Linked DNA regions of Lonchura striata. The protein of the gene in region 1 interacts with the protein of each later gene in a biochemical or structural test. Links are inferred from orthologs where the notes say so. Each region holds a gene or a part of one and is shown in the gene's direction. Other genes may lie near its edges. The genes, in order: ARHGEF16 and TAX1BP3.

Evidence for each region.
Region 2: the proteins of ARHGEF16 (region 1) and TAX1BP3 form a complex in vitro, tested with the Homo sapiens proteins (2 studies listed by BioGRID and IntAct, with this or other methods). The link is inferred for Lonchura striata from reciprocal best matches to the Homo sapiens genes ARHGEF16 and TAX1BP3.

What each region holds. Positions count from the first base shown.
Region 1 is NC_134626.1:3,680,339-3,696,347, forward strand, and holds the start of ARHGEF16 (rho guanine nucleotide exchange factor 16), read left to right. Parts: upstream 1-8,112; 5' UTR 8,113-8,130; intron 8,131-9,517; 5' UTR 9,518-9,542; coding exon 9,543-10,088; intron 10,089-11,380; coding exon 11,381-11,432; intron 11,433-12,123; coding exon 12,124-12,278; intron 12,279-13,778; coding exon 13,779-13,835; intron 13,836-14,240; coding exon 14,241-14,401; intron 14,402-14,865; coding exon 14,866-15,018; intron 15,019-15,380; coding exon 15,381-15,510; intron 15,511-16,009. Other genes in the region: histone-lysine N-methyltransferase PRDM16, read left to right, coding at 583-717. UniProt on the Homo sapiens protein: Guanyl-nucleotide exchange factor of the RHOG GTPase stimulating the exchange of RHOG-associated GDP for GTP. May play a role in chemotactic cell migration by mediating the activation of RAC1 by EPHA2.
Region 2 is NC_134622.1:8,393,584-8,409,822, forward strand, and holds TAX1BP3 (tax1-binding protein 3), read left to right. Parts: upstream 1-9,789; 5' UTR 9,790-9,836; coding exon 9,837-9,875; intron 9,876-11,259; coding exon 11,260-11,379; intron 11,380-11,651; coding exon 11,652-11,729; intron 11,730-11,956; coding exon 11,957-12,094; 3' UTR 12,095-13,482; downstream 13,483-16,239. Other genes in the region: P2RX5 (P2X purinoceptor 5), read left to right, coding at 894-1,044, 1,387-1,563, 2,400-2,475, 2,801-2,897, 3,260-3,340, 3,838-3,976, 4,564-4,700, 4,962-5,055 and 3 more; EMC6 (ER membrane protein complex subunit 6), read right to left, coding at 8,925-9,257; CTNS (cystinosin), read right to left, coding at 14,318-14,448, 14,803-14,920, 15,124-15,294. UniProt on the Homo sapiens protein: May regulate a number of protein-protein interactions by competing for PDZ domain binding sites. Binds CTNNB1 and may thereby act as an inhibitor of the Wnt signaling pathway. Competes with LIN7A for KCNJ4 binding, and thereby promotes KCNJ4 internalization.

The sequences.
Region 1 (16,009 bases):
AGTCTGGCTGCATTTCTCTCAGCAGACACCTTTAAGGGTCTCACTGCAGCACTAAACCCACCCTGACCACACTGGTGATGCCCGTGAGAGTTCCACAACCCCAAATATCCACACTGGCATCGCCAGTGAGGCCATGCCAGGCATTGAGTCAGGATGAGCAGCTGCTCACCACTTCCCACTGGGCACTGCTGCCCCATTCCCAGGGCACTGCTGCCCCAGCCCAGCCTCGCTGATGCCTGGGGATGTGATTTTTTTAATAACAATTTCCAGTAAGAGCTGCTTTCCCCTGGGAGCAGAGCCTGAAATCATGTAGAGGTTTGTGAGTGAGCACAGGCAGTGCAGGATGGGTTTGATCCTGTGCAAACCAGTGGGAATGATGGTGTCTCCTGACTGTCCCTATAAAGCATGACAAATCTGGTTTTTTCAGAGGTGGGTGCCATCCCAGAGCGTGGATGTGAGTTTAGCCCAGCACACAGGACGCTGCTGGCCCAGGTGGGCAGGGTTGGGTGGTGCTGTGTTTTACACACAGAGCTCCTCCATCCCGTGTTCTCACTCGTGCCCTTGCCTCCCTCTCTCCCCCAGGCTTATGCAATGATGCTGTCCCTGTCTGAGAACGCTCCCCTCCACACGTCCTCCCAGAACTCTCTGGGGGCTTGGCTGGACATGGCAGGAGCAGCTTCAGAGTCGGGGACCTTTAACCCCATCAACCACCTCTGAGAGGTCCACAAGGCACTGGCCGGAGCCCAGGCAGGGGTGGTGGTGCTGCAGCCATCCCAGCAAAATCCCAGCGAGCAGAAGATGGATGAGAGAGCCTCAGGGAGTCGTCTGGACTTTGGGCTGAGAAGGAAACCTGTCACATCCGACCTACACGTCCTGCATTTTTTATCTCTCTAGAGTTCTCCTTTCTAATTTATCAGAATGAACCTCTCCCAAACTGGATAACCCTGAAGCAGCCCCAGGATTTCACAGCCTGTAGGAATAGCATGAGCAAGACACGAATTGCAACAGTGCAATCAAAGATTGGCCCCTCCAACCTTCCAAACCGGTGTCACTGAGCCAGCACAGCCTGAGCAGGAATGACAGCTTGGAACCACAGGGCAGCATTTCCTTCCCATCCAGCTGAAATGGTGAAGCACCGAGGGAAGACAGCCAGGTGTGGCCTGTCCCCAGTGCAATTGTGACACAGCCACTGGAGTTATGCCAGGGAAAGGCAAATTCAACCCACTTAACTCACCGCCCCCAAAAGAATTCTGCACTCCCACCGAAACACCACCCTGTCCTTTGTTCCCAGGAAACACTGGCGCAGTGCAGAGCTCCTCCAAGGTGAGGCCACCTTGCCTGCAGTCATGGTGAGCCACGTGCAGCTCCCAGCTGAGACCTCTCCGGCCTGGAACGTGCTGAGGTGGGGGTGACAGATGTGGCACACGGACACGGGTGGTCGGCGGTGCCCTGAGCAAGGCTGGCAGGGCTCCCTGCCCCTCCTGGTTCCAGCGAGGCTGGGAGTGCCTGGGACAGAGCCAGGCTGGTGGAGCTCCTGGAAATTCTTGGATTTGCCCAACAGAGAGGTGGTGGGGTAAAGCCTTCTCCAGCTGGAAGGAACCGTGTGCTGGGCGAGCCTCACCTGCCCCGGGCAGCTGGGACACGTCTGCTCGTGTGTCAGGGTTCAGGGTGACATCACCCGTGCTGGTGATGCTGTCTCTGGCACAGATCTCTGATTCACACCGTTGTTTTGGCCTGGTTTTCCCTCTGCACTACCTGCTGCTGCCCAGCCTGTGATTTAAGTACAAAGGTGAACATTTCCATGCTCCAGCTGCCTGAAGGGTGCAGAGCACGGAGATCAGAATCCAGCTGTCTCTCTGACTCTAAGATTTCTCATTGAGATTTTATGAGTGATTTCCAAGCACTTCCAAACCTCACCTTGTCTACTGATATACAGCAGCCTCCACAAATCGTGTGGGCTTTGTGCTGTTCTCCTCTGTGGAGCGGGGAATTTGGAGATGACATTCCTTTTTGGAATGGTTAGGAAAGCCATGGAGAAGGGCAGATGGAGGGTTCCTAGCCAGTCTAGTGTGGGAAGCCTCGTCCCAGCAGGCCAAAACAACAGAACAAGTTCCCTGAGCAAAGCAGAGTCAGAGTTGTGGGTGACACCTTTGCAAGTCAGCTTTGCACCCAAGAGCACATGTGAGGCTGAATTTGGGGAGCCCCAGAGTGCCCCCACAGGAAAGCATCCAGGGTGGCTTTGGTACAGAGGGAACAAAAGGTAAATTAGCAGGACAAGTGCATTTCCCAAGGAAATTTACTCTTCCCTTTTTGGTTTTCCACGACATCCTGTGAAAGTGCCCAAGGCTCTGAGAGCACCAGGCGGTGTGACCGAGCTGCTTCACGTATTTGCACAAAGCTCCTGGGTAGGCAGAGCCCGAGAGCTGACCCTGCCGGAGGAATCCCGGCTCTGTGGAGGAGAGGGACAGCCCCATCCCATCCCATCCCATCCCATCCCATCCCATCCCATCCCATCCCATCCCATCCCATCCCATCCCATCCCATCCCCACTCCACAGGCTGCAGCACAGCCCTGCCCAGGCACTTGGCCTTTAAATTATTCCCACAGGGGCCAACTGAAAATAATAAAAGGATTGTTTCTTTTCCTGATGGAATTTATTTTAATCTGTATATAACTTGTCATTTTGGCCTAATTCCTTTCTTATTTTATTTCTTCCTTAACAGTATTTTTTTTTTTTTTTACATTAGCTATCATTCTTGTGAAGAAATCATGTTAATATAAGTATCTAGTGAAGGACCAAAATCGTGCTGATGAGGTTGGATGTTGGATAAGCAGGGAGCAGGGAGATTTTGTCCATGTGCCAAATGAGCCCAGTCAGTGCTGCCAGTGGTGCTGCTGACCTCCAGACAATCATCCCTCGGCTCCCCTTTGCCTTGAAGCTCCTGGGGCATTAGAGGAAGGTTCCAGTGATTGGGAGCAGCACAGGAGGAAGAGGAGGAGGAGGCCAGTGGAGATGCTGTGCCTCTGCTCCAGGAGAACATGGGAACAGCCTTAAACATGGGCATGGATCCATCCTGTCCCATTCCAGCTGCAGCTCCGTGACTCCTGGCGGCTGCTCAGAGCAAGCCACGTGTCTGAGCATCTCTCTGCTGTGCTGGAACAGGATCTGTGGGCAGCAGTGAGTGTTTGTGTGCTCTGACCGTGCTTTGCTCACCCTTGAAGAAACCTCAGGGCAGGTCAGCACCGCCCTCCACAGCACGGGGAGGTGACAGAGCAGCTGAGGGAGTGGCACTGAGCTGGACACCAAAATGTGGGCCAATATTAAGGAATGCAAGTGTTATTGTGGGCATTTATTTGGGGTATTTATGGTTTCCCTGTCCCTCTCTCAGCCCTGCTGTCAGTTGTATCATTTCTCCAGAAGCACTTGGTCAGGTCTTTGCTCTGACTGAGCTTACACTGTTGCTGTCCCCCTCCCCAGGCTCATTCTGGCTCTCCATGGATATCCTGAGGGTCCCTGGCCGAGGATAGAGAGGTATTATCCAGCCAGGGATTGTGGACATTAAAAATATAGGGTTTAAAATCACCTTTTTTTTTTTCTTTTCATATTTCCTAATTCAGTTGCTCCCCATTTTCTCTAGCTTGTGTTGTAGGATCCCCAACTCCTCTAATTAAGCACTGATTACAAGTTTCAATTTTTCCCATTAAGATAAAGAAACAGGAAGCCTCACTGAACTTCTGTTAACCTCTACCTTTCGTCAGATTGCACTTGGAACGTGCTGCAGCTCACAGCAGGTGTGGAGGTCCCATTTTGCTGCTTTAGCAGAGAATCTCACCTTTTCCAGGCTGCTTCCCGAGAGGTTTGTGCCCAGGACGCTCTGCTAGCAGAGCACTGCTGGCTTCCCAGGGCTGGGGAGGCTCTGGGAGCTTTGGTGAGACATGGAGCTGTGGTGTCCAACCCCACGGACACGCTGGGATCCAGGGCAGGTGAGGGTGGCAGGGATGGGAAGTGGCTGCGGTGTGGCCGGTAGCCAGGGCACCGCTCCAGGTGTGGTTTAAACCCAGAGCTTTGTGTAGGATCTATTTATTTAAAGTATTTTCACAGCTGCAACAGCACAGAGGAGAGAAGGAGAAGCCCTGGGGATTTTTGGATTGGTCAGGCGGGGCTGGGAGCTGCGCAGGGCTGAAGCGTTGGTGCTCCATGGAGGGCCCTTGCTTTGGCCAGGGCTGGACCTTCCTGCCTGAGCTGGTCAGGGAGGAGGATGTGTGTCCCGTGTCTGTGCATTCCCTGCTTCCCACCAGCTCCGAGCTGGAGGCTGGTCCTGGTGTGATTGCTGTGGCTGGTGCAGACAGCTGGGAGCTCTCCAGTGGGATGAGCTGAGCTTCTCCCAGGGGATGTGCTGCGGTGCCAGGTCCTGCAGGACACGTCGAGGCACCCGGTTCTCCTGTGGGCCGCTGGGTTCCTCCCTGGGATGTGCCCTTTGGCGCTCGGGCTGCTCTGGGCACCTTCCCAAGGTGTCCCAGGCCAGCAGGCCGTGCCTCGCCGGGCGCCAGGGGCCCTCGATGCGCGGGAGCCAAACCCAGACGGGGCTGAACGAACCCCAGCGGGTGAGCCCAGCCGATTCCGGGACTAACACCCTGCTGGGCTCCTGTCCTCCCTGGGACAGTGCAGAGGAAGCTTTTGCCCCCTCCCCAGCCAGCACTTAGGCACTCAGAGGCTGCTCTTGGCAGCAGCTCCTGGCAGAGCCTTCGGGACGCGCTCGCACAATGAGGCGAACGCGTTGGGCGCCGAGCGTCGAAGCACTGGATCGTGAGCCCCCCGCGCCCCCCGATCTGCCAGCTCAATCTGCTGATCCCCACTCGGTTTTTACGTGCTGTACTGTGTGTGTGTGTGTGTGGCGGGGCGCGGGGGGCAGCGCTGGGGACCCTGCCCCTTTTTGGGGGGACCCTGAGCCGTGGGGACAGCGCTGTCGCCAAGGGCAGGAGCGGCGTGGCTCGGGTCAGTGCTGGCAGCACAAAGGGCAAAACCCTTCTGCTCCTCGCCGGTGGTCAGTAGTGTTCTCACAAAGCCATGAAACTTCTCCGTAGTGTTGAGTGGAACTGTGACTAAAAGGTTCTCGAATGATTCCGAGGTTCTTTTTTTCCTCTTTCTTCTGTTGTTAATTCTTATTACCACTTTGGAAGAAGAAATTTAAAACAAACAAACAAACAAAAAAAATTTAAAAAAATTTACAAAAAAAAAAAAAAAAAAAGAACGAAAAAGAAAAAAAAGGCAGCTTTGATTTTCCAAATGTGCAATTCACATGTGAACAAAGTAATTCTGAAAGTAATTCTCAGTGTATTTTACATTCTCATTGCTCTCTTCAAAGCAAGAGATGTTTTGCCCTGATGTCATTTCCAGCCTGCAGAAGATGTAATTTAAAACATATATATATTGTGCTTGCAAGAATCATAAATCTGTGCATCCTATGTCATTCCTTTTCCCATTGTTACAATACAGATATGATTTAGGTTGGATTTTTTTTTTCCTTTAGACCTGTATAGTGTTTTTTTAAATCAATTGTAAATGTCTGGTTTTCATATAATGTTTAAAAAACATTGAGAAAGAGGATGGTGCTTGTTCCATATCATTCTTGATTGTATATTGCTTCTGTTATGTTTATAAGTAAACTGTGCATGACTTGTGTTTAGCAGTCATTATTGTGTCCGTTTGTGAAATTTTTATTAAAAAGAAAAAATTCCGTAGATGCACTTATTGTATATGTGATTAGATTTTGCGTCCGAGGCTCGAAGCCTTGAACTGCCAAGGAAGAAAGAAAAAGTGTTGGCAGTTATTAATTAATATGGAATCGCTTTGTTGGGAGCATAATGAAATAAAAGATATGAAGTGTAGAAAATAATTAAAAAAAAAAAGGCAATTTTACAAATTTCATTTTGATGCTTGTGATAAAAGACAAATGTACTTGTGTAGAGAAATTCCTTTAAAATAATGAATAGAAAAAGCTGATTTTGAGGTTAATGCTGTAGAATAGGAATGTATACCAAATGTAATCTTTCCAATGCTACAATGAATTTATACATGAGATTGATATGCAATAAACCTGTGTGCTTTTATAAGCAGTGGTCCCATGAGCTTCTTTTCATGGAATAACCATGGAGAACGTCCCCAATAATGGGACACTGTGTGTGTCACTGTCTGGCTTTGCTGCTCTGTGGTACCTCTGGAGTCTGATGTTGTGTGTGTGTGGTTTTTAATACTCGAAAGAGCTTAAAAAAATTAATTATGGCCACCCCACTTGCTGCTGAGGTCAGAATCATGGAATCACAGCATGATTAAGGTTGGAAAAGCTCTCCAAGGCCATCCAGTCCAGCCTGTGCCCAATCCCCACCTTGTCCCCAGCCCAGAGCCCTGGGTGCCAGGTCCAGGCCTTCCTTGGACACCTCCAGGGATGGGCACTCCAAACCTCCCTGGGCATCCCCAGCCAAGGCCTGGCCACCTTTTCCATTAAAATATTCTTCCTCATATCCAACCTGAACCTCCCCTGGCACAACTTGAGGCTGTTTGATCCTGTCCCTTGTTGTCCTCCTGTCAGGGAGCTGTGCAGAGCCAGAGGTCCCCCCTGAACCTCCTTTTCTCCAGGCTGAGCCCCCCCAGCTCCTTCAGCCTCTCTTCACAGGACTTCCCCAGCTCTGTGCCCTTCTCTGGAAGTGTTTTAGCCCCTCAACCATTCTCTTTTGTGAGGTGCTCAGAGCTGGACAGAGCCTCCCTAGTGTAAAGCAGGTACATCACATCCCACTGAAGGGACGGGATGAGAGGGAATACTCTCAGAGGGAGGACTGAGAGTATTCCAGGTGTGGGAGAAAATGTTGGGATGGGGCATCGGTGAGCTGATGGAAAATGTCAAGCATATTTCCTTTCACTACCAGAGCGCAGAGCGAGTGAACTGCCCAGTGATAGCGGCCAGATGGTTCAGCTCCAGGGGACTCTGTGAGCAGAAATTACTTGAAAGCCGGGTCTTTGAGCTAAAAACCCCATTACACAACTGATGAATGGCCTCGCTTCAAAAAGTCATTCATGGTGATCAAATGATGGTGTCCCACATTCGGGATAATGGCCCTTCCCCGGAGATCGGGAGGGTTTCATTCGGAGCTGAACCCTTGAGTAGGAGCCCTCCTCTCGCTGGAGCCTTTCTCCTTATTAGCCCCGGAGGGAAAGGATAAAAAATCTATGGGATAAGAAAGCTGTGATAATGGGGCGATTGTCAGGCAGGCCCCGGAGTGGAGAGAACAGAGGCATTTCAAAGAATATTGCTGACAAGTGGACTTTGTCATGCACAGAGAGCTTGAGATTCACCACAAACAAGTGAGAAAAAGGCCCCATTTGGAGGATGGGGAGGAGCAGAACAGGGGGGCAAAAGAGAAGGTCAAGGAAAAGTCTGCTCCCAATAAAGACACAGAGCACTGTTGAGCCTTACTGGGCAGCTGGGTTACTGGGCGGCAGTCAGCAGCCTGACCCTCAAATCCTCTTTCCCAGCAGAGAAAGATCCTCTTTCCCAGCGCCCAAAAGCAGCCGAAATAGATGTTTTGTACAACCGGAGGGATCGCCCGAGGTCACCTTTGACCACTGAAGACCCAACTAAAGCGAGCATCAGACATGCCTGCAGTAAGGGACAGTCCCTGGGCTGCTGAAATACCGAGTGTGTGTCGGCCAGACCCCGAGGACAGCCGGGGCACACTGCTTTGTCACCCGCTGAGGTGACAGGAGAGCGACACTGGTTTGTCACCCGCTGAGGTGACAGCGAGCTTGCAGAGGCGGCTTTAGGGGATGGAGGATGCCCAGATCCAGCAGCGCCGCTCCGCGCACACCCCTGATGAACGCTCATCAAGAAGCAGCAAAACACTGTTCCTAGCGAAGTTTAATTAATTTTTCACCCCTAGGAAGCCGGAGCGACCGCGGGACGGGGCGCGGCAGGCAGCAGAGCGCTGCTCGGCGCCGGGATGCGCGGACACCGGGCACAGCCCGGCACGGCCCCGGGGGCCGCACCGGCACCTCCCCCGGTCCCGCCCCGGTCCCTCCCATCCCTTGCCGGTCCCTCCCATCCCTCCCCGCCGCGCTGGCTCCGAGGGGCGCGGGTAGGTGCGGGCGTGGCGGGGCCGGGGCGGGGGCGCTGCGGAAGGACCGGGGACCCCGGGGAGGGACCGGCACCGGCACCGGGGCTGCCGGGCAGCCGTGCGGGCGGCGGCCCCGGGCCGGCGGCCACCGAGCGCCTTCCGGGGAGGGGACGGCGGCGAGCGCTGTGCCGTCCCTCCGAGCGCAGCCGGGGCTCGTCCTCCCGCGGCTCTGTCGCCGCCGTCCCCGAGGTGCCGGGGGGTGGTTGGGTCCGTCGCAGAGGGGGTTTTTTTGGGTGCTTCCCGGGGCTGTATCCCGCCGTGCTCCCAGCCCTTTCAGAGCCTCGCCCCCTGCACCGCAGCCCGGGGCGCGTAGGGGTGGCGGTACCGGGTTGCGGTGCCCGTGCGCCCCCGCGGGCGGTGACGCGGGGGATCGGTGCCCTGTGTGGCCACCGAGCCTCCCTCCAGCCCGGCACCGTGCACGCTGCAGCCCCAGACCCTCTGCGGTCAGGCCTGTTCATTGCCACCAGGACTCAGCCAGGATGGGGTTAAGAGCGGAACGTGGCGCTTTGCTCGTCCGAGGGACACTTGGCAGAGCTCCGGACGCAGAGCGTGTGTCCCGCATCCCAGGACATTGGAATGAGCAGCCTCTGTCAAACGAGCTGTTGTTGATGGGTCTGTGCTGTCCTCCTGCCAGTCATTCATGGGAGGGAAAAGCACGGTCCAGCCTTGGTTTGTTTCCTGGTCTTTGAAAGGAAACAGCTTGGAGATGGCACTGGTGCACAATGGGGTCTCAGTTGAGGACAGCTTAACCATCATTTCTCCCGAAGTTATGTAATAGGCAGAGGGCATAAAACTCTCTGTCCGTTCTGTAGGTGCATGGTTCTGTGCGTGGCACAGGAGGGGGTGAGTGACCTTAACCCCAGCTGGCAGCCCCAGGGACTGGGGCAGGTGTTTTTGTGGGCAGCAGGTGTGGGGCAAGTGGGAGCTTGGAGGGTTGACGGCCAGGGATCCACAGCCCGGGGGAGGTGGCAGTCAGGAGCGCACAGAGGTGGCTGGCAGCACCCCAAAGGGGAATGAGGGGACACGGAGGTGTGGCAGCAGCGGGGCTGGGAGAGGATCCAGGCCTGCCCAGCTCAGGTCTGAGCCTGCCCAGGCTGCTCTGGAGCCTGGCTGCTCTCATGCCTCCCTGCTCCCATTCCTGACCACACAGGTGGCCCCACAAGGAGCAGGGTGGTGACAGCATCCCCAGTGTGTCCATACAGGCCCTGCCTGCAGCGACCCTGCACTCCTGACACAGGAGTGTCCTGCGCTGTCCCAAGGTTCCTGTGGCTCTGTAAATTCCTGCTGCCTTACTGGGAGGTGTTTAGCCACCCATCTGTCTGTCAGTCTGTCTGTCTGTCCTCCTCAGCTTGCTGCTCCCGCAGGCCACCACCATGTCTCGGGGCTCCTCTGGTACCTCTGTGGATGACAAGACCTTGCTCCTGGAGTACCGATGCCACCCAGCACGGCCAGAGCCCCCCAGCCCGACGTGTGGCCCTGGGAAGCGCAGCCCCACCACGGCTCCCAGTGCCAGCCCGCTGTCACCGCTGGCCTCCCCCACCTCGGCCGAGCCCCGCCGCATCGTGCTCAGCACGGACAGCCCTGCCGCGCTGAAGGTGGGAACGCAGCAGCTCATCCCCAGGAGCTTGGCCGTCTCCTCCAAGCCCAAGAACAGCCCCTCCCGGCACCAGAGCTGCGGGGCCAGCCGGGAGCCCCTGAGCCCCGACCCGGAGCGGGCGGCCGTGCCCGTGCTGGCGCTGGAGGCGGAGGATGAGGATGATGGCGGAGGGTTCCTCAAGCGCAACCTGAGGAACATGTCCTACCGCGCGGCCATGAAGGGGCTGGGGGCCGAGCCGGAGCCAGCCAAGGCCGCTCCCTCGCTGAAACCCCTGCCCGAGGATGGCAGCGCCCCGCCCGATCGCAGCCCCGGCAGGAGCAAGGTGGGTTTAGCACCCGCTGTCCCCCCTGTGGGTCAGGGATGAACTCCTGCTTCCCTGGTGCTGACAAAGTGTGAGAACCCCGGGCTTGGTCTGGGGTCTCGTGGGGTGGTAAAGTCTCTCCTCCAACCCATGCTTCCAAAGAAAAACTCTGCAGCCTCTTGTTGTCCAGTCTCAAGGCAGTTTATTGTGAGTTATGTAAAAGATTTTCTTCTCGGGCTGCTGTGGTTTGCTCACAGCTCAGGCAGAGGCGCACACACACACATCCTGACATCCTCTCTGTCTGCTGTCTTCTTCTTCTCCCTCCCCCCACAGGGCTGCTGCTGTCTTTTATATGTTATATTACGTATTACATGTTTATAGTTTCCCGCAATACCTACTACCTATATTACAAAGTGCTTTTCTACTCTAAACCAATCTGTGAGTGCCAGCATCACCAAGAACATGGAGGCAAGGAAGAAGAAGGAGGAAGAACAGGATCAGCCCACTTTCCTCCATCTTAGAACTTCTGACCCCCATGTACAAAGTAAAACCCCCCCCGTACAGGTGCTAAAACCCCCCTGTACAATACTAAAAAATTTCCCCTCTGTTTTGTAACTACTTTTACTATAGTATCTATCCCTTTGTGACTGTTCCACCTCCAAAGTTGGTAACTCATCCCATGGCTCAAACTCAAAATCACAGCTGTTTGCAGCTGCCTGCTGGGGTCTAAAATGCTCCTGACCAAGGCCTGGAACCTCTAAAAATGTCTGAGGGACATTTTGGGTTCCAACAACAGAGGAGCTGCAGGGCCACAGCTCCAGTCAGTTCTGGAGCTGCTTTGCTGAGCCTGGTGTCAAGACTGGAGCCTTGGGAAGCTCCATGTCACCAGCAGATGCTGCAGGTTCCTGGGGAGGCTGGGAATAGTTTTCCTGGGGAGTGGAGCTGGACTCTTGGCAGGCACTTGCGAGGTGTTTGCAGGGTGGGGCTGGCCGGGAGAGCGGCTCCAGTCGTACACAAACATGGGTGAAGCACGTCTGGGGAAAGGGAAACTCCAGAGCAGGCAAAGTCCAGGTGCGAGAGAGATTTGACAGCAGCAGTGCAAGTACAGAATGGTTCTGAGCGTGACCCTGGCTGTATGGGAGGTGAAAGCTGAGTCACCTGGGTAAGGCAAACAGAGCCCACACAAAAGCCAGGCTGAAAGAACAGGGTGGTGTGGGCCAGCTGGCACAGGTAACTCCCCCTCTTCCTGAGGGAGCTTTCCCAGGGCCTCAGCAGTGTGGCAACCACAGCAGGCTCTCCTCTTGCCCTTGCAGAGAACCCTCGGGCGGAAGCGAGTGCAGAAGCGTGGTGGCTCCTTCAAGGACCGTGAGTGCCTCTGGCCCCTGAGCCTTCCCCACTGAGCTGCTCCCTGGCCGTGGCTTTTGTCTGTTCCCCCAAAGCAACAGGAGCATTGCTGCCCTGCTCTCCCACTCCTGGGACCATGGATTTGTCTCTGTTCCCCCAAACAGGAGCATTGCTGCCCTGCTCTCCCACTCCTGAGGCCATGGATTTGTCTCTGTTCCCCCAAAGCAATGGAGCATTGCTGCCCTGCTTTCCCACTCCTGGCACCATGGATTTGTCTCTGTTCCCCCAAACAGGAGCATTGCTGCCCTGCTCTCCCACTCCTGGGGCCATGGATTTGTCTGGGTTCCCCCAAAGCAATGGAGCATTGCTGCCCTGCTTTCCCACTCCTGGCACCATGGATTTGTCTCTGTTCCCCCAAACAGGAGCATTGCTGCCCTGCTCTCCCATTCCTGGGGCTGATAAGGCTCCGTTGCTGCCATGCCCACAGATGGATTCTCCCAGGGAGAATGGGAGAGCTGTGGGAGGCTGCTGGGAGCAGGAGCCTCCGTGTGATCAGTGCAGTGCAAAGTCCAAACCTCATCAGGGAGTTTCTGGCCCCGGGCTGGCTGGAGCTTGTTGGCCGGTGGCCAGCAGGGCAAGGCAGCCGTGGTGGGAAGGGAAGCCATGAGCTGGGAGAGGCTGCTGGGCTGACCTCGTGCCTTGTCCTCCGCAGAGCCCCGGCTGTATCAGGAGATCCGTGAGAGAGGGCTGAACTCGGTCAGCCACGAGTCAGACGAGGACTTGCTGGAGGAGCCGTCCCCTCTGGGCGCTGCCATCGTGGTGCAGAGCTACCGCCCGGCTCAGGTCACCTGGAGCCAGCTCCCGGAGGTAGGAACAGCAGCCTGGAGGGTCTGGGAGCTGTGAGGGGATAATTCCAGCCATTGGTGCTTGCTGTGACACGCAGGGTCTGCCTCATCCTTCCCATTTCTGCCCAGGTGGTGCTGCTGTGCTTGGGCTTCACCCACAGCACAGGGGAAGGCAGGTGCTCCTTGCTGGGCTTCCCCTGCAGGATGTGGGGACAGCAATTCTTCATCCGGGGAGTGGCAGCAGCTGCTGGGGGCTGGGGGAGCTGGGGATAATGCAGGGGGTGATGCAGGAGTGAGTGGTGGTGGTGTGTGATGGTTTCTGATGGTTTCTGATGGGTTCCTTTGATGTGTGGTGGTGTGTTGCAGTGTGTGATGGTTTATGATGGTTTCTGATGGCTTGTGATGGTTTGAGATGATTTCTGTTGGTTTGTAGTGGTTTGTGATGGGTTCCTTTGGTGTTTGCTGGTGTGCTACAATGTGTGATGGGTTGGGATGGTCTGTGGTGGTGTGTTACAGTGTGTGATGGTGTGTGATGGTGTGTGATGGTGTGTACTGGTTTCTGATGGGTTGTGATGGTTTGTGGTGGTGTGTTACAGTGTGTGATGGGTTGGGATGGTCTGTGGTGGTGTGTTACAGTGTGTGATGGTTTCTGATGGATTGTGACAGGTTGTGGTGGTTTGTGGTGGTGTGTCACAGTGTATGATGGTTTCTGATGGTTTGTGGAGATGTGTCACAGTGTGATGTTTTGTGATGGTTTCTGATGGTTTCTGATGGTTTGTGGAGGTGTGTCACAGTGTGATGTTTTGTGATGGTTTCTGATGGTTTCTGATGGTGTGTCACAGTGTGTGCTGGTTTCTGATGGTTTGTGCTGGTATGTCACAGTGTGTGCTGGTTTCTGAAGGTGTGTGCTGGTGTGTCACAGTGTGTAATGTTTTGTGATGGTTTATGATGGTTTCTGATGGTGTGTCACAGTGTGTGCTGGTTTCTGGAGGTTTCTGATGGTGTGTCACAGTGTGTGCTGGTCTCTGATGGTGTGTGATGGTGTGTCACAGTGTGTAATGTTTTCTGATGGTTTCTGATGGTGTGTGATGGTGTGTTGCAGTGTGTTATTGTGTGTCACAGTGTGTGCTGGTTTCTGATGGTGTGTCACAGTGTGTGATTGTTTCTGATGGTTTCTGATGGTGTGTCACAGTGCGTGCTGGTCTCTGATGGTGTGCCACAGTGTGTACTGGTTTCTGATGGTGTGTCACAGTGTGTGATTGTTTCTGATGGTTTCTGATGGTGTGTCACAGTGTGTGCTGGTCTCTGATGGTGTGCCACAGTGTGTGCTGGTTTCTGATGGTGTGTCACAGTGTGTGATTGTTTCTGATGGTTTCTGATGGTGTGTCACAGTGCGTGCTGGTTTCTGGAGGTTTCTGACGGGTCCCTTGGGTGAGTGCTGCTGGGCTGGGCGTGGGGAGGCTGGCACAGCCCCAGACCGCACTAGAGGGCGTGCAAGGACCGTGGCTCCGCTCGTCCCCAGGTTCTGGATTCGGGCATCCTGCAGAGGATCTCCCCCGAGGAGCGCAAGCGCCAGGAGGTGAGAGGGGCCTGGGACGTGCCTGGGAGCACAGCGGGGGCACCCAAGCCCGTGGGACACGCGTGGCTCTGTCAGGGACAGCTCATGGTGCTGCTGCTCCCAGCTGCTCCAGGACTGGGCAGTGCTGGGAGGGCTCACTGCACTAATTGGTGGGGAAACAGGCAGCTCCACTGGGTGCTGGTGGGAAGGGAAAACATCTTCATGCTGTGGCTTTTTAACGACTGAGTGTCCTAAAACACACTGGGATTATTGGTATTGGCCAGGCCATGCATGAGGTGACACAGAGAACCAGCACAGAGCCAAGTCATTTCCAGTGGCTTTGTGCCAAAGAGTGTAAATAAGATTTAACAGTTAATTCCCAGCTTTGTCCAGTTTATGCTGCTGCATCTTCCCTGCTTTCTCCAGGCAATGTTTGAGATCATCACTTCTGAGTACTCCTACATGCACAGCCTGAGCATCCTGGTGGGCCACTTCATGAGGTCAGAGGAGCTGAAGGAGACCATGACTCAGACAGAGCACCACCACCTCTTCTCCAACATTGGGGACATCCTGACAGTCAGCACGAGGCAAGCAGGGCCTGGGGCTGGGACCAGGCAGGCCTGGGAGGGGACCCTGAGCTTTTTGTTTGTAGTGCTGAACCAGCCATCCCTTGGATTGCTGAAAGTACTCACTGGGAGGTGGGGAGGAAATGCCTTGGGAGCCAGTGCTCAGCGAGCTGTGGCCGTGTGGGAAGGCAGCAGGAGGAGGATGCAGCAGCCCTGGGAATGGCTGTGGGGGTGTTGAGGCTTGTGGTTCCCTGATGGGGCAGAAATAAACCTCATGGAGGGCTGAGGTGCAGGAGGGATCCCATGCAGGAATGAAGCGTGTGTCTCTGGAGAAGGCGTGGGTGTCTCAGCTGCTGGAGCTGCCCTGCCAGAAGGGATCCAGGCCCCATCTCCTCTGGGAAAACTGGGGAAAAGCAGCAGTGGGAACATTCCTTTGTCCAGCCCCAGTGAGTCATGTGGTGTGGCTGTTGAAATTCTCTCCTCAGCTTCTTTGAGGACTTGGAGAAGCGACACCAGGAGCACCTCCTGATCCCTGACATCAGTGACATCGTGGAGGAGCACGCCTCGAAGCACTTCAACCCCTACATCAGCTACTGCTCCAATGAAGTCTATCAGCACAGGACACTGGAAAAGCTGCTGTGAGTAAGGGCTTGGGCTGGCCAAGGAATTGCCTCTGAGGGGCTCTGGGCTCCAGGGACTGCAGAGGTCCGTAACACACAGGGCATGGATGGGCCTTGTTCATCTCCAGGCCAAGTCTGAGTCTGTTGTTAGTACATCTGTCACTTTACCCACCTTTTGGTGGGCTCACCATCTCTCTCTGGGTGCTTTTCCACCACCTGCTGTGGGATCAGTCCCATTTCTGCCCAGCTGGGCACTCCTAGCCTGGCAGAGCACCCCAGGCAGTGCCATCACTGCTCTGCATTTCCAGTGCATGGAGAGCTGCTGGAAAATCCTGACAACTGAAGAACAGAGTTAATGGAGTTTTCTTGTCCTGTTCCAGAACCACAAACCCCTTATTTAAAGACACCCTGAAACAAATTGAAAGGAAGCCTGAGTGTGGAGGCCTGCCAATGATCTCATTTCTCATTCTGCCCATGCAGAGGGTAACACGGCTTCCTCTGCTCTTAGATGTAAGTAGTCATACAGTGGCATTGCTTGGCACCTCTGCAGAGGTGACTCTGCTATTCCCTTTGTTTGCTGAGCCCAGGACAGCCTCTGATTGGAGTTGCAGCCCTCTGGGCCCTGGGTGCTGAGCCTGGATGCTCCTGTATTCAGGAGAAACATTTGGATAACTCTCAAGCACATGGTGGGATTCTTGGGGTGTCCTGTGCAGGGCCAGGAGTTGATCTTAATGGGTCCCTTCCATCCAGCATATTCTGTGATTTATATCCAGAGCAATCTGCTTCTCTGGGGGATGTCAGTGTGCAGCTTAAAGCTCTGTGAATAACACTTCTTGTCCTGGTGCCACCCATCTGAGCAGCCTGAGCTTCTTCTGAGCCATATCTGGGTCCCAGGGTGGGGTGGCACAAGTGTCCTGGTCAGGCAGCCCAGGAGTGGAAATCAGGCCTTGCATTCTTCATGGCAATCTGCTCTAAGTGACCAAGCTGCTGGAGGTGGGATTTCCAGGAA
Region 2 (16,239 bases), on another chromosome or scaffold:
TGTATCTTTGACATTATACATATAGCATCCATTTTATTATTTGTGAAAAGCCAATACATCTATTATAATATGTATTTATAACAGTGGGGAGTGTTCATATGCAGGTTTGTCACACGTGGCAGGTGAAGGCTGTGTGCCACCAGTGCTGCTCAGCCCCTGTGGGCAGGAGAGCCCTGAAAAGGGGAGCTGTGCCACAGATTCAGCCTCTTCCTCTCCCAACCTGCCCCAGCACCCTCAGCTTCTTCATGGGTGACTTCTTGTCCTGACAGGTGATATCAGCAGTATTGTGAGGGAGCTGGAAGCATTTCGTTTGAGCCAGAGGTTTTCACCCAGGGAAATGGAACTCCTGCTGCTTGCAGTGGAGAGAAGGAAGCAAAGCCTTTCCCTGGATTGCTTAGCAAGGCAGCAGCTCTCCCAGGGTGCAGCCAGGCTGTTCCCATCACCCTGGCTTACAAAGGAGCTGGATCCAGCTGGGGATGTTCCCTGCAGCTTTCTGCCAGGATCCCCAGCTCAGCTGCAGGGGCTCCATCTCCCAGCCTGGTGCTGACTGTGCTAAAGTGAGAGCTCTGCACTTGTGAAACCAGCCACGCTCTGCCCTGCAACCTGCAAAAACCTCTCTTGTTTTTCCTCTTGAGAAAGACACAGCCCTGCTCTTCCTTTCCCTTTCTGAGGTTGCTGAGTGTAGCACAGATGGAGGCTTTGGTTTCATACCTCATGACCTGTTATTACACATTCCTCCACTGTTGGCAAGCACAGCTTGTGTCCAAGGGTTTAGCCTTTATTAGCAGTTGCAGAGGCTTTGGTGTCATTGGCATGGTTTGATTTGACCTCAGTGTGAATTTCTCTGCCTGACTCGTTCCCTGACCTCCCCTAACGCTGCTGTGTTCACACAGGTGGGTGTTTGTGGTCAAGAAAGGCTACCAGGACACAGACACGTCCCTGCAGAGCTCTGTCATCACCAAGCTGAAAGGGGTGGCCTTCACCAACACCTCGGAGCTGGGGGAGAGGATTTGGGATGTTGCAGACTATGTCATCCCTCCCCAGGTTGGCATCACCCCCTGTGGGTGCTGAAGTGTATCTATCCAGGTCTTCCCTGTGAATTAGCAGGAGCTGGGATACAGGAATGTGGTGCTGGAAGGGGTTTTCTGCTGTGAGTTTTTTATTTGAGATGCCGGGGGTGCTCTGCCTCCCCCCAGGACCGTGGGCTGGCTCTCATGGTTGTGAGTGCACCCACAGTGTGAGGGAATTCATCCAAACAAATATCCACACAAAAGGTGATGTTTTATCTCAGCCTGAAAAGCTGTGGGGAGAGGGGGTTGTTCTCTTCTGAACAAAGCTTCCTGCTTTAAAAGTAAACCAAGTTTTCTAACTCTTTGTTTATTGCAGGGTGAAAGCGTCTTCTTTGTCATGACAAATCTGATTGTGACCCCAAACCAGAGACAAGCCGTGTGTCCTGAGGTAGGAAGAACTGAGCCCCTTGACCCCCAGACCCCTGCAAAACCGGGGATAAGAACTGACAGAGGACACTTCTGGAGCAACAAAGAAAGGAAGGATGAAAGACAAGTATTTTTTCCTGTAGTGTAAAAGTTCACTTGGGAAATTACTGTAAACGTGGGAGGCTCAGCTGTCTTAATTTCCAGAAGCACTGATCATGCAGAGCCTTCCTGACTTTAAGTGGTGTTGAATTTCTGCCCAGCTGGAAATGGGACCAGGCAGTGATTGCTCAGGGTTAGAAAAGGCCCCGGGAAAACAAATTTGATGTGACTTGGGGTAGTTATGGGGAGAGGAGACTTTTTAAGAGCCCCATCCTGGAAATGCTGAACATGCAGGCTCTCGTTACCTCCCAGACACAGGGTGGTTGCCCAGCACCTTCCAGAACATGCCCTGAAAGCATGAGGTGCTTGTGGCATGTGGAATATCCTCTGTGGAGATGTCTGGAGTGGGCTGGGGCTCGGGGAGGAAGCTGTGCTGTGCAGGGAGAGCTTTGTCCATGGAGCAGAAGGATTTTCCATGTCACACCGGGGGCACAGCTGGCTTGCTCAGGGCACTGCTCTCCTCTGGTGGCCGAGCAGCCGGGACAGGGGCACATTTGGGCACGAGAACTTTGTGGCTTAGATCCAAGGTAGGGTTATCTTAAAGCAAAATGGGCTCCTGCCTGGTTTTGCTGAGTACTAATGTTGGTTTTTTTAAGTCTGCCCCTCTCCAGACTGAGCAGAACCCAAACCTGGGAGGGTGTGGCTGAATGCTGGTGCTTCTGGTGGTGGGATATGTTTGCATGACCCCCATTTACCACTTCAGCTGTGTGGTTTTAGTGCTCACACAGAATCTGCCCCATGTCAGCAGAAATTTCTCTGGCTCTGGTGTCCTTTTTGTCACTTGTGTCCTTTTCCCCTCTGCAGAGTGCCAACATTCCTGATGCCCTGTGTGACAAGGACACGGACTGCCTGGAAGGGGAAGCAGTGGTGGCTGGCAATGGTAAGACATGTCCCTGTCTGTGTTGTGTCTGGTGGTCTTCAGAGCCCTCAGCCCGGGTACACCCCCAAATCTCTGATTACAGAGAGCACCAAGGCCTTTCTTTCCTTTCATCTCTTTTCTTAAGATCCCTGCCTTGCTTACAGCTCTGTGGTAGCTGGGCCAGGGAACCCTGGGCTGCTCAGAGACACAACAAGAGGGCGTTTGTTCCAGCTGAGAGGCCCTTTCAGCAGGGAGGAGAGGGAAAATCCTCTGTTTTCACATGCCCTGTGGGCAAGGAGAGGAGGTGACTGCTCGGTGTGACCTTTTCTGTGATGTCTGCTCACAGGGGTTAAGACTGGCCGTTGTTTGAAAGACAAGGGCAGCACCAGAGGGACTTGTGAGATACTGGCCTGGTGCCCAGTGGAGAAAAGATCCAAGCCCAAGTACGTGTCTTATTTCCAAGCTTGAGTTGCTTGGCTTGTGTGTCACCCAGGGCAGTTCCTGTGTCCCTCTGCTTGGGTGCTTGCTGGAATGTTGGCTGATCAGTGCAGGAGGGGGCTCTGCAAGGCTCTCCTGGCAGGACTGGCCCTCTGCTCCCCCTGCTTCCCTCCCTGGCTGCTCCCAGCTCTCGGGGTGTCTCTGGACCTGCACGCTCCTCACCAACCCCTTGCTGGCACTGTGGGGGAAGTGGCACAGCTGGCCTGGTGCCATCCAACCTATTGGATGAAGCTGCTTCTGAAATGGCAATTCAAAATTTCACACGTGGGCCGGGGACAAAGACAGAGAACAAACCCTTCTCTTCCAGGAAACCACTGCTGGGCAGTGCAGAAAACTTCACTGTTTACATCAAGAACTCCATTCGCTTCCCCAAGTTTAAGTTCTCCAAGTAAGTGCCACAGGTTCCTGAGCTGCTCCTGCTCAATAGATATTCCCTCTCCTCCAGAAAAATAAAGTGCCTGGACAAGGCTGACAAAAAATGAAAATTTAACAAATATGTTTGCCTTTGCTGCTGCAATGTGAACAAACTAAAGCAGCGCAGAAATGTGCACGTTCTGGTTCTTGTCCTGGGCTCAGATAGGCTTTTCTAGAGTTCTTTTGTTTTCCCTTGAGACAAGCAGATGGCCCTGGAGCAGTTTGGCAATCTGTTCTGTGTGAGCCCTTTCTTGAGCCCAGATTCAGCTGGCCAAATCATTTTCTGGCCAGGAGGTCATTTCTGGGGGAGAGACTGCTTTCCCCAGGCCAGCAGCAGAGACACTCACAGGGTGACAAGGCTGCCGTGCACAGAGGGTGTTGGAGAAGCCTCTTGTCTCTGCAGTCCTGCTGCAGGCTCTGAAGACAAGGAAAGAGGGAGCCAAGGTGGATTTCCCTGTTTCCTACATGCAGGATGAATGTGCTGGCAACTGACAACGAGTCCTACCTGAAGACCTGTCGGTACAGCCAGGAGCATCCCTACTGCCCCATCTTCGTGCTGGGGAACATCGTCCGCTGGGCTGGGGGCAACTTCCAGGAAATGGCCTCGGAGGTAGGAGGGTCCCCAGGGCTCGTGGGTGATCCCAGCTGGCTCACTGCTCACTGGGAGGCTCTGAGGAGTCACTGCCCAGGGAGCTGCCTCCTGCCCAGGCTGCACTGCAGAGGTACCAATGCTTAAAGTCAGGCTGGTTCCATTTATCCTGACCCCAGGGAATGGGGGTCCTCTCAAAAAGCTGGTTGGGTCAGTTATTTCTATTCAAGGCTGCCCAAACTGCTGCTCTGCCAGCAGGGATTCTTCATTTAATTTCAACATTACCACACGATTGGTTTAAAGCCAGAACTCTGTAAATCCACCCCGGCATAAAAGTCTTCCCCACTGAAGTGTAGAATGGAATGAAATTAATGTCCTGGGATGAGAAACTTCTGGATACCAGCACAGAGAGAAGTGGGGTTGTAGAGTAGTAACAGGATTAATGTCACACACCTGAACTCAGCCCAGGCAGGAGTGTGTGCCCCTTGTTTGACCAGAAGTGCAGCTGTTTCTTGCCCCTGGGGAAAGCCTGCCCAAGGGTCTGACAAATTTGAAGACACTTTAACTGAACTAAGCTTAAACAACTCACCCTGTCTCTCTCTTTTAAGGGTGGTGTGATAGGAATTCAGATTGAATGGAACTGTGATCTTGATAAAGCCCCTTCTGAATGTAATCCTCACTATTCTTTTAGCCGGCTGGATAACAAGTCTGCAGAAACCTCCATCTCTTCTGGGTACAACTTCAGGTGGGTACAGAGGAGGGCACAATGCAGTACCACAGCTGGGCTGGGCTGCTTGGACTGGCAGGTGCTGAGTTTGGCAGTGAGTGGCACCAGCCTGTGCCAGGCACTGCTGCAGCCGAGCTCAGAGCGCTGCAGAGGAGGGAGGGAGGTAGGGAGTGCTCCTGGCAGGCTAAAGTTGGCTTTGATGAGGGAACAGATCTCTTTGAAGGGATGAGAGGCTTCAGAGGGGCAGGTGGAATTAAAGGCAGCACTGTTGTATTCCAGGTTTGCCAAGTATTACCGGGATGCTGAGGGGGTCGACTACCGGACGCTCATTAAAGCGTACGGAATCCGCTTCGATGTGATGGTGAATGGCAAGGTGAGAGCCAGGTCAGGATGTCCCAGAGCCTGCAGAGAAAGGAAGTGGGGGGAGGCAGCTCTGCGAGGAGGACAGCCTCTCTGGCTTGTTGTAGAAAGGGCTTTTCCCATCCATCCATGTGGAGCTAATCCCCATGTGAGAGAGATCACCTGTAGTGCAGCTAAGCCTGCACCTCCTCTACTTAAAACCAGGCTCATGTAAAGCCTTAACAGAAATAAATGTGCCCCAGAGGCTTGTTTTCCATGTGCAAGCACTGCAGAGAGAAAAAGCCTAATCCAGGGATGATGCAAGCTCAGAAATGCAGTTAGGGACAGTCAGATCTAAGACACAGAGACCTTCAGCCTCCACTGCAAATCCCCTGTGGTTGTGCCTGGGAACAAAACGCACCCAGGGGCAGCAGCAGCTTCCCCAGTGCAGTACCACACCCTTGAGTTTGTTTTGTGGGTTGTTCTCTCAGTGGTGACTTCATGACCTTTGTTCTTCCAGGCAGGGAAATTTAACATCATTCCCACCATTATCAATATCAGCTCGGGGCTGGCACTCATGGGAGCTGTAAGTGAATGTTTTATCTCAAAGTAACCCCAAGGGACCCACACCCCAAATAGGATGGGGGGTTTAAACCTTCTCCAGCAGAATCTTTACTACTCAGCCAGGTGTGTGTCTATGTCCTCCTTCCTTCAGTGCCTGGTTCTTTCTTAATAAACCTAGTAGTCTAAACACCCCCACAATCTGTATATTACATATACATACTCTGGAAAATGCATGGACAATGAAGGCAAACACAGTTTCTACAAGTTATCCTTTCATTCATGCTCATTTCTAATGAGTTCAGAATACTTCCTCTTCCTTTCAAAGATAAACCACAAGTTTTTTTCCCTTTGCAGGGAGCTTTCTTTTGTGACCTGGTGCTGCTATATTTGATCAAGAAGAGTAACTTTTATCGAGGCAAAAAGTATGAGGAAGTCAAGTAAGTGGGCCTGGTTTTGTGTTAAAAATCATGGCTTTTTGTTAAGACTGATAGAAATAGGAGGACATACAGGAGCACAGTTCCAGGGAAATATATTCTTCCAAATTATTTTGGCCAAGTTATTGGCTTCCTCTGTAATTCCTTGCTGCAATGAGCTGGGAGGAAAGGCAGCTGCTGTGTCAGGGTTGGACTGGCAATGGCCTCGTGAAACTGAGATGTGGAGGGGCTTTTGGGGTAAGGTGAGACAGGCCTGGCTGGGAACATTTTTGCCTCCTGAAACAAACCCAGGCTGCTCATCCTGTCCTTGTGCCTGTTTGCCCAGGTCCAGCTCCAGGAAGTCCTTGTCGAGCCCTACGCTGAACGGGAATCAGAGCCCAGAGCAGCTCGGCGAGCTCTAGGCACAGCAGTGGCTCTGCCAGCTGGACTCCTGCTCCAGGAAATCCACACTGGTGTGGCACCACACCAGCACTGGGAGGTGGATGTACCCCAGGTCAGGCCTACTATGATCAGGATTCCCAGAGGACAAAACCTTCTTTAAAGACTGTCTTTCTTCCCAGAGATTTCTCTGGTAGCCTGAGCTTGCAACGTGTTGTCACTATGGATTTATAAAAGGATTTTTATAAAAGGACAAAGAAGGCACAAAAATGAATGTTTTTATATCCACTGATAGATATATCTGTACTTATGCCAGTAGCCAGCATTGTCCTGTGGCTGTGCTTTGCTTCCACGTGGAGAAAAGCTGTGATGGGAGCACTTTGGGAAGGGCTGAAGCTGAAACCCAACCTGTTTCCTGCTCTGCTGCCCTGGCAGCCACTGCCTCCAGCTCCTGCCTGGGTGATGTGACATCCGTTGTGAAGCAGCAGGACTGCTCTGCTCAGGAAGTGCAGGGAAATGTGGCATTGGAGCAGCTCTTGGGGCTGGGAAGGGGCTGTGATCCTGCAGGGCCTGAGGCAGGGGGGCCCTGGAAGCACCTGCACAGCTTCTGCCTCCTTCCTTCAGTGCCTGGTTTCATTTGCTCGGGACTGTCCTTGCTGTGTCACTGCCTGATTCTGTGGTGGCAGAGCTGGATGGACACTCAGTGCCTCTGTTTCTCACAGCACCCTGGGCTGTGCTGCACACTGAGAAGGGCAGCTGTGCCAGGGACATGGGCTGGGCCAACCTCCTCCAAATACACCAACAGCAGGGAAGTTAGAACATATCTGCCTGCTACTTCAACACCAGTGACCTCCAGGAAATACAAGTGCTTGTCTCTCAGCAGCATCAGTCTCCTTGCAGCCTATTTTGTCCATTTATCTCATGTGGGGAGGTGAATAATCTCAGAAAAGGGCTTAAGGAATATGATTGTGTTCTGTACATGCTGCCCCATCACCACTGTGAGCTGTCCTGATAAAGATTAAATGTTTTTGTGCATGCTTTGAATACCAAAAGTTACAGGGCTCCTTCTGCAGTGTCTGAGGGTGGCATCAGGGAGCTGCTGCCATCGAGCGTCTGCACAAATGGCACCAGCAGCTGCACCCAGCTCTGCTGTAACTTATTTAAAGTCGTTACTCTGAGGTACAGGTTCATCCTAAATTAAAGTTCACCTGTTAGCAGTGGCAAACTCTGAACCCAGCCACTGACAGCAAACCCCACCCAGTCTAGGTCCCCACCTCTGCTTCTGTGTAGCGAGCAAAAAATGGGGCTAGAAAATAGAATTAAACAGTGGAGTTCATTTAGGTTAAGCTGTATACCTTTGGTGCTCTGATCTCATCCAAAACCTTCTCTCCATGTCAGAAGTCTCTCTTCAAGGCAAACACAAGTCACCATGTGGGGAACTGCACAAGAGTTACCACCAGGCTTTTGACTGTTAGGGTTAATTAAAACTCTGTGTTTCACCATCTAGAAGTTGTGTAATTTCTAGATGGTGAAACACATGAAGAACCCCCCCATGTGACATCAGGGCCTGGCACAACTCCTGGCACCCAAGCAGCTCCTCCTGATGTGCAGAGCTGACTGTGCTCTGCTGAAACCATTGTTTTAACTTGCCAAAACATCCTCCTGTGAGATGACCAAAGCTATTTCCTGAATCTAAGTCTCCAGGCCCCCCAGATCCCCTAGAGTGTTTCCTTTCTTTAGACTCTGTAACACAACTCCTACAAGCCCTGCTGTTAATAAAACATAACCAGAGTCCTTCTCAGGACTTGTTTCTTGACTTTGACTTTTTTTTTCTCCTTGTGTTTCTTGTTCAGCAATAAAATGTGTCACTTCAGGCCAGTGCTCCCTGGGAGTGTTCTGTAAGTGTTTTTTCAGGTCACACCACCTTCTCCTGGTGATAGTGATGTGAGCACATTGATGAATCACTTATTTTCACAGAACAGGGCTATAGGAAAGGCATTACCTGGATGGTGCGTGATGGAATTATCCCCTATTGTGGCTGTTCTAGAGACCAGTGACAGTGCCATTTACTGATGGCAGTCAGGGAAGAGAGCATTTGCATGTATGTTTCTGTGCCAAACCTTTACATCCACTTAGTTATTTCCTTTTGTCAGCAAAATTATTTTTAAGTAATTTAATTATTTCAGGTTGCCGTGTTACTGCTGTAATGTTTGTGTGTAGGGACAGGCAGCACATCCAGAGGGGATTGTAACTGGTGTGTGTATCCAGGGAATATATCAATCAAACCCCACAGCTGTGCCTGCTCTTAGGGACAGAAATTACCCCCTAACAAGGAAACAAGGAGGCATCCAAGCGGTGCTTCACATTCAGTTTTAATAGAACAGTGCTACTGATTAATTTGTACTTGGACATAATTTACCAACAGCATTAACGACACGAGCCACGGACAACAGTGTGGAAAGTGAGCCGGCCTATGGTGTAGTGACTTTTGGCAACAGTCCCGCCGCTCCGTCCGCCGCGGAGCTGCTCAGTACACGTGAACCATTCCGTACAGGAAAGTCCAGAACAGGACGTAGGTGAAGAGCCCTCCCACCAGCCCCCCCGTGAACAGCGGCCTCCGCGACTTGAAGTACTTGTTCCACCGCCGCCCGGCTTTCAGCACCAGCAGCACGGAGAGGAGGACGGAGGCCAGGAAGTAGAAGATGAAGCCGTGCAGGCCGGTGAGGCCGAGGATGCCGGCCGTGGCGCCCGACAGGGCGGACACCGAGGTGCGGCAATAGTCCAGGATGGCCGCGTTGCCCCGCACCGCCGCCTCGCTGATGAACTGCGGCCCCTCGCGCTTGGCCACCACGGCGGCCATGGCTCCGCGCCGGGCTCGGGCAGCTCCTCGCTCGCACCGACACTGAGGTGAAGCAAACGCGCTGTACGAGCCCGCCCGCCCTCAGGCCGCCGGGAGAGCCCCGCGGGCCCTCCCGCCGCCCCTCCCCTTCCTCCGTACCTCTCATCCACGGCGGCGCCCAGCCCCGCCGCTCCGTCAGGCCTCGCACCGCGCCGAGGGACCCCGCTCAGCGCCCGTCACCGCGGGCCGCCCGCCGGGCCCGGCCCGCCCCGACCGCGCCGCCGCCACCGCCCGGCCGCCATCTTGCCTTGGGGGCCGACGGGACGCGGCCGCGCGGGCGGCGCGCCGTGGGCGGGGCGGCTGCGGATTGGCTGGCGGGGAGCGAAGGGCGGGGTCGGATTGGCTGGCGGGGAGCGAAGGGCGGGGTCGGATTGGCTGGCGGGGAGCGAAGGGCGGGGTCGGATTGGCTGGCGGGGAGCGAAGGGCGGGGTCGGATTGGCTGGCGGGGAGCGAAGGGCGGGGTCGGATTGGCTGGCGGGGAGCGGGAGGCGGGGCCGGGCGAGGCGCTTTTGTTCGGGCGGCGGCGGTGGCGGGGCGGACATGGCGTTCGTACCGGGGCAGCCGGTCACCGCCGTGGTGGTGAGTGGGCACGGGAGGGGCGGGCACGGCGTTCCTACCGGCCCAGCCGGTCACCATTATCCCGGGGATACCGTGCCGAGGTGGCGGCTGCTGGCGGGGATGGAGAGGTGGATGCGGGTGGTGCCCGGCAGCGCCCTGCGCGCTGTCACGGGCGGAGGTGCCGCCCCGGGGCAGCTCCGGTTCGCGGGTGCGGGGAAGGAGCGGGCGAAGGCTGCGGGGTTAGGCACGGCACACGGGTGACGGTGCCGGTGCCCGGCAGTCGGAGGGTGGAGGTCCCCGGGCAGCCCCGCTCCGCGGCCGCTCTGTCCGCAGCGCCGCCGGCCCCGGTTGCCGCCCCGCAGCCGCTCCCCGCTGCGTGGGCTGTCAGATTCTCCGTCCGGGATAGCGGCTGGGAGAACAGAGCGGAAACTCCGCCGGGCGGAGGGACCGACCCCCGGCCGGGGATGCTCGGGCGTTGCTTTAGAGAAGAGGGAGCGAGAGACACGCGTTCTCCCGGTACCGGGACCCCGCGGCAGCCGAGCCCAATCTCGGTGCGGATCCCCCTCTGCGAGGGCAGAGCAGGATAAGCACCTGCGTGTCTGGGTGGGGTTAGGAAGCAGAGCTTTTAAAGGGAGATAATGGCTTTAATCAGCACGAAGTGCGAGTGAGGGATTTGTGCTTTCCTCTGCCTGCAGCGGTAACTGGGGTTGTGCTTGCGTGGATGGCTCCGATGTTTGGAATCCAGGGAGTTTGGAATTCAGTGGGGAAGTTCAGGGTCTGTGTGACAGGGCCATGAGAGGAGAATCACAGAGTGGTTTGGGTTGGAAGGCACCCATGAAGGTAATCTCATCCAATCCCCTGCAATGAGCAGGAACATCTTCCATTAGATAGGGTCGTAGCACTTTTCGAGAGGTTGCTGTGTCAGTTAAGACCGTGGCTTTTCACCCTGGCTCAGGAATTAATTGCACCAGCTGGCATTTCTACAATGCTGACATAATGCACAAAGCTGGTCAGATGCCTCTGTGCATCAGGCAGTGAGGAACCTGCCCCGGGTTACAAAAGTTATCCTGAAAAAGAGCCATCCTAATAATAGGTTGTTATTTCTGCTGATAGGACTAGCAGGAACATAAGGCATGTGGATAATGAGCAAGATGAGGCTGGTCATGAGTAACTGCTGGTTATCAAGGCATGAGTCATGTTTAAAGAGACCTGCTCTGGTTTTAGTGTTGTTCCCTTCTATTCCTGGGCAGGCAGGACAGCTCTGAGTAATTGAGGGGCTGGGCTGTGTCGTGGGATCTCTGTGAAAAACAGTCTAACTGGATCTGAATTATCAGCGTCTGAAATGCACTTGAGATTTCTTCCACTTGTCACAATGCTCAGCTATTTGATCTCTTTCTCTTTCCAGCAAAGAATTGAAATACATAAGCTTCGTCAAGGTGACAATTTAATTCTGGGATTCAGCATTGGGGGTGGCATTGATCAGGACCCTACTCAGAATCCTTTCTCTGAAGATAAGACTGACAAGGTCAGATAATCTTTTTCTGTAGCAAGTCCCTCTCCCAAAGGCTGACCCAAGTCATCATCTGCCCTCTACCACAGCTACTCTCTTGCCCCATTATCACTTGTAGATCCAGTTATTCAAGTGACTTCTACACCTTTTCTATTTTCCAACATTGCATGAGCCTGTTTTTAACTAAAATCTCATAATACACTAGAGTTTTTCTGTGTTGTCAATCAAATGGCCCTTGAATACTGAATCCTTCCACATTTAGTAAATGAGCACTAATTTTTTCCCAGGGTATCTACGTAACAAGGGTGACACAGGGAGGCCCGGCAGAAGTTGCAGGACTCCAGATTGGAGATAAGATCATGCAGGTAAGCACCAAGATAAGACAGTAGTGATGTAGTACCAGCTGCACCCTGCAGAGAAGCATCTGCTGGGGAAAATAATCTTCTGGGTACTTACCAGGACAGTTTGTAGGGTTTATAAATAAACTGAGCTGTGGCATAAAACCATATCCACTACATGGTTCTGATAGAACAGTTACAGGACACCTGTGAGTCCTTGCATTTGCCTTATTTTATGTTTTTTTTTTTCCCAGGTGAATGGCTGGGATATGACAATGGTGACCCATGACCAGGCCAGGAAGAGGCTGACCAAAAGGAATGAGGAGGTGGTACGGCTGCTGGTGACCAGGCAGTCCCTGCAGAAGGCTGTGCAGCAATCCATGATGTCCTAATCCATCATCCAGCTGGGGAGGGGGTGGGAAGGGAGATGTATAGACTGCTATCAAAGAAAGAAGCAACTATTAGACTGGAACAGGTTGTCTGGAAGGAGTGCATGTTCCTACCTGTGGTAAACACTACTTTTTTATTTTAACTTCTTCTGGTGTAACTGGCAGTAGTAAAACAATACTCCCCTCAGCAGAGTGCTTCTCTAAAGTCTGCCCTGCAGGTACATGGCAAGACTTCTGTAGTCATGACTTTCAGGACAGGACAGACCCAAGTTATCTAAGAGCAACTGGAAAAGCCTTAACTTGGACAGGATTCTTCTGTAGCACAAAAGCCTCCTATTTTAGGAGGAAATGTGGTTTCTGCTATGGGAGACCAGAGGGTTTGCTGTGCCTAAGCTTTTAGAAGGGAGCTGTCCTGTCCCCCACATTGCTACCAAATTCATATGCCAGAGTTAAGAGCTGCACAGTGCTGTGGGGAGGAGCACTGTACTAATCCTTCACTGTGTGCAAGATAGAGAGTGGCTGAAAGGTTTGGGGCATTACAGTTTCCTGCAAAGATTCCCTGGACAAAGCAGCCTCTTGAGGCAAGAAACAGCTGAGTAACAAACAAGTGTTAGATCAATGCCTGTGAAGTACACTACAATTTAATGGACACTACAGTTCAACCTCACTGGCAGGGTAAAACCTGAATTCTCCTTACTCCCAGTTTGTACCATCAGCTGAATTGAGTTTAATTGAGCAGGAAACAAAGCAATGTTCCTGAACCTACCAGAAATGCTGCTCATAGCTGTAGAGTTTTCAGGCCTTCATTCCACTTCTATCTGACTTGAAATGGGAGGGATTTTGGTTTGTGTTTTAGAAGTTTCTGCTTAAATCAGTGATTTATTGGATGGAAGAGATGACTATGCCAGTAATTTGCAGAAGTGCCTCTTGACCAAATTTAAACTTCTAGTAGGATACTAAGTGTTTTAAATCAACATGCCACAGGACTGAAGAGTCTTGCTGCAACTCTAAGTCCATGATCTAGCATCCTGTGGTTTGTTAGCCAGTTAGCTTTACAATTATCCAAAACCTGGAGTTTTTAATCCTTTTCAGTTGATCTATACATATCTATAGTTTCTTTAAGCAGCCTTGAGGTAAGCTGTTGTAAATAGAGCATGAGGAGGTGGCCAACTAATTTATTCAGTACCTCACTGCAGCAGATGCCTACTTACCAATTTTATATCTCTGGAATTACTACAATTCTGCTTTGGAATTTTGTAATTTAAGAATTCAGTAGTAAATTTTAAGTCTTTCAAGTTGGAGTTATTTTTGTTACTATAAAGATACACTGCTATTTGTACTGCTTTTTTCACTTGATTTTACACACAATAAAACAAAATTGGTTTTCCTGAGTTGTTTTTCCTTATATTTGAGTGTGCCATATGACTTGGGTGCCTCTAGCTGTGACCTTTTTTGGCTTAAGAGTAGATTGTGGAATTACTGAGATCAGTAAGGTCTAGTTTCACTGATGGGGAACTGTCAAACCTCATCTGAGATCTAGTTTTCCTTAGGTTGACACCTAGAAAGACACATAAGGTTCTAAGCATTCAAGTATAAATGCACAGATTCCCTTCTAATTACTTGTCTTAGCACCTTTGAAAGAGCTTTCAGTGAAATAAGAATACAGCTTCTGGTTTTTTAGGATTTTTTTTAATAAAGAGTTCAAATTGTACCAACCCCATTATTGTGATGTACTGCTGTGGCCAGCCTGAGTGGTGATGGACTGTGAGCTGTCTGGGAAAGGTCAGCAGCAGCACTTGGATCCACAGACAGCCTTCAGTCATTACTTAAAGATATTAAGTGGTTGCTTAAACATGATTCAGATTTTTGGAAGACAGAACTCTGCTCTTTGTGCTTCACCTCCAATCAGAAAGACATCACTTTGGTCTTTCTCTTCCCTGTGGTTGGTGAAAAAAGAGCCATGTGTTGCTTGGACAGCTCCTTCTGAGCTGTGTGTGCAGCTCCATCAGGCACGAGTCTCCCATGTGCAGCTGAGAGCTTGCTGTCCTTAAGGCATCTGGCAGCCAGTGCTTGGCAAGGCAACATTTTGTGTTCCAGCCCAGAGAGGATCAAGTGACAGAGATCAGAATCAGTATTTCTGGTAACTGGCAGCAAGAATCTTGAAAGCCCTCAGACAGGGTAGGGCCAAGTTCAGTTTAAAGTTTTAATCTCCACAAGTGATGTTTGTTATTCACAAGGTTCATACCCTCGTCTCCTGTACAGGCAGTAGTGCTGGGCCATGAAAACAATATCAAAGACAATGGAGAAGACACCCAGGCCAAACTTGGTTGGATCTCCAAAGATTAACCTCCACTCATCTGTCAAACACAAAATTAGAGTTAAGTCTGACTCCTCAAGTGTAGTCTTGTCTTCAGACCCTTTAGAGAAGTTCATGTCTATTACCTGGACTGCTCAGACACACCTAAAACTAACTGCAGTGCACACCTTATGCAAAGTTAATTAATAACTGTTCCTGTGGTTTCTTCAGGATGACTACTTCATTTTATATCTTGAGGGAATATGAACAGATCCTTTATCCTTTCTATAAGAACAGCTCCCCACACAGAGCACAAACATCATTCTTCTGAGATAACCTTCTGCTTTATATCTGCTTTATATCTGCTTTGCAGTGGGACTTTCCATCCCATTAAGCACCTCAGTTCCAGGCTTACCATTGTTGTATGACTGCAGAAACATTTGGAGAAGGCTGAAGCTTCCCCCAGTGAAGTCCAGTAACACATTTCCAATACTCCATCCCTCAGTGCTCTTCCTACGGAAATTCATGTAGGCCTGGGAGTGTGACAGAAGTCAGTCAGAGTGTCATGCACAGGCATTTGGGATTGAATTTCAAGCAGCTTTCAGTACAATTCTACTGGTTTGTCACTGTTAATAAATAATCATTGGTGGTTTAGTCTCTTCAGACTTTCAAGAGCATGCACTGCAGCTTTAGGGTGGCAGGGATATGGAATGCAAGCAGAATAATTCAGATTTACCTGTGGGAAGTATTTTATGAGTGTGACTGCTAACTTAATGTAGGAGAAGCAGAACAAGAACTGCAGCCATGTCATCACCTCAGCTGCAGCCAGGAACAGCGTTGTGAAGGTGAAGATCCATGCAAGTGCCAGGAGTCCAACAACAACTTTGGATACTTTCTGACCTGCTCTCTGAAATACAAACACAGATACATTTTGGCCAGGTCACACATCCCCAGACACAAAGATACAGTTTGCTCAGGATCATGCAATGCTACACTCCAAACCTGTTTTACCAGTCAGGCTGGTACCACAAGGAGAACTTTAAAATTAAGCAAGTGCTACAGCAGCCAGCTGGAGGCTTCCAAGAGCTGAAGAGCAATATTCATATCAATAATTTAAAACACTGCTGTCCCTGAGCAAGAGGCAGCAGTGTTCTTGAGTATTTATGGTGCATAATCTGTAACAAATCTCCAAAATGCAACCTGATGAGATCAAGAGTTCCTGTAGGCACAAAAGGCTGATAATACCATTATGGTAAAAGATTTATGGTTGCTTTCTAATTCTTCAATAGAAAAATTCTGTAGTACCTGTCAATGATGACAGATGGGCTGTTACAGTTTTAGATTTAGCATGACCAGAGGAAGAACCCCAAGAGGGAAACAGTTACCATCTAGAGAAAATTGGCCTGTTCAGATGAGAGTCGTTTACAGTGAAAATCAAACAAAGAACCACCTGGCTGAAACAATCAATGGGATTAAGTAAGAATCACTTGACTGTAACAATCAGTCTCACTTGAAAAGGTGAGAATTATGAAAGGGCATTTACAGCTGTTTTAGGAAAGCAGTTGAAAAAACTGTGTTTAAATTGCAGGGAGTATCTAAAGCCCTATCATAGCTTGAAGAATGCTCCAAAGAAACAGCAAAGCATTTGTGCTGTGAAGAGCTGTAATCTATGTGCTGGCTAGTGATCTATTTGGGAACTTTATGAACTTGGCTGTTTGCCTCAGTTATTTTGAGTCCCTTAGGAGTTTACTTATGAGCTCAGAACATCCACGAGGCTGAAGTAGATAAGATTTGCTCAGGAAAGCTGAAGGCAGCTAGACTGTGAAGGTTGGCTCCTGTGATGGCCGGTGGA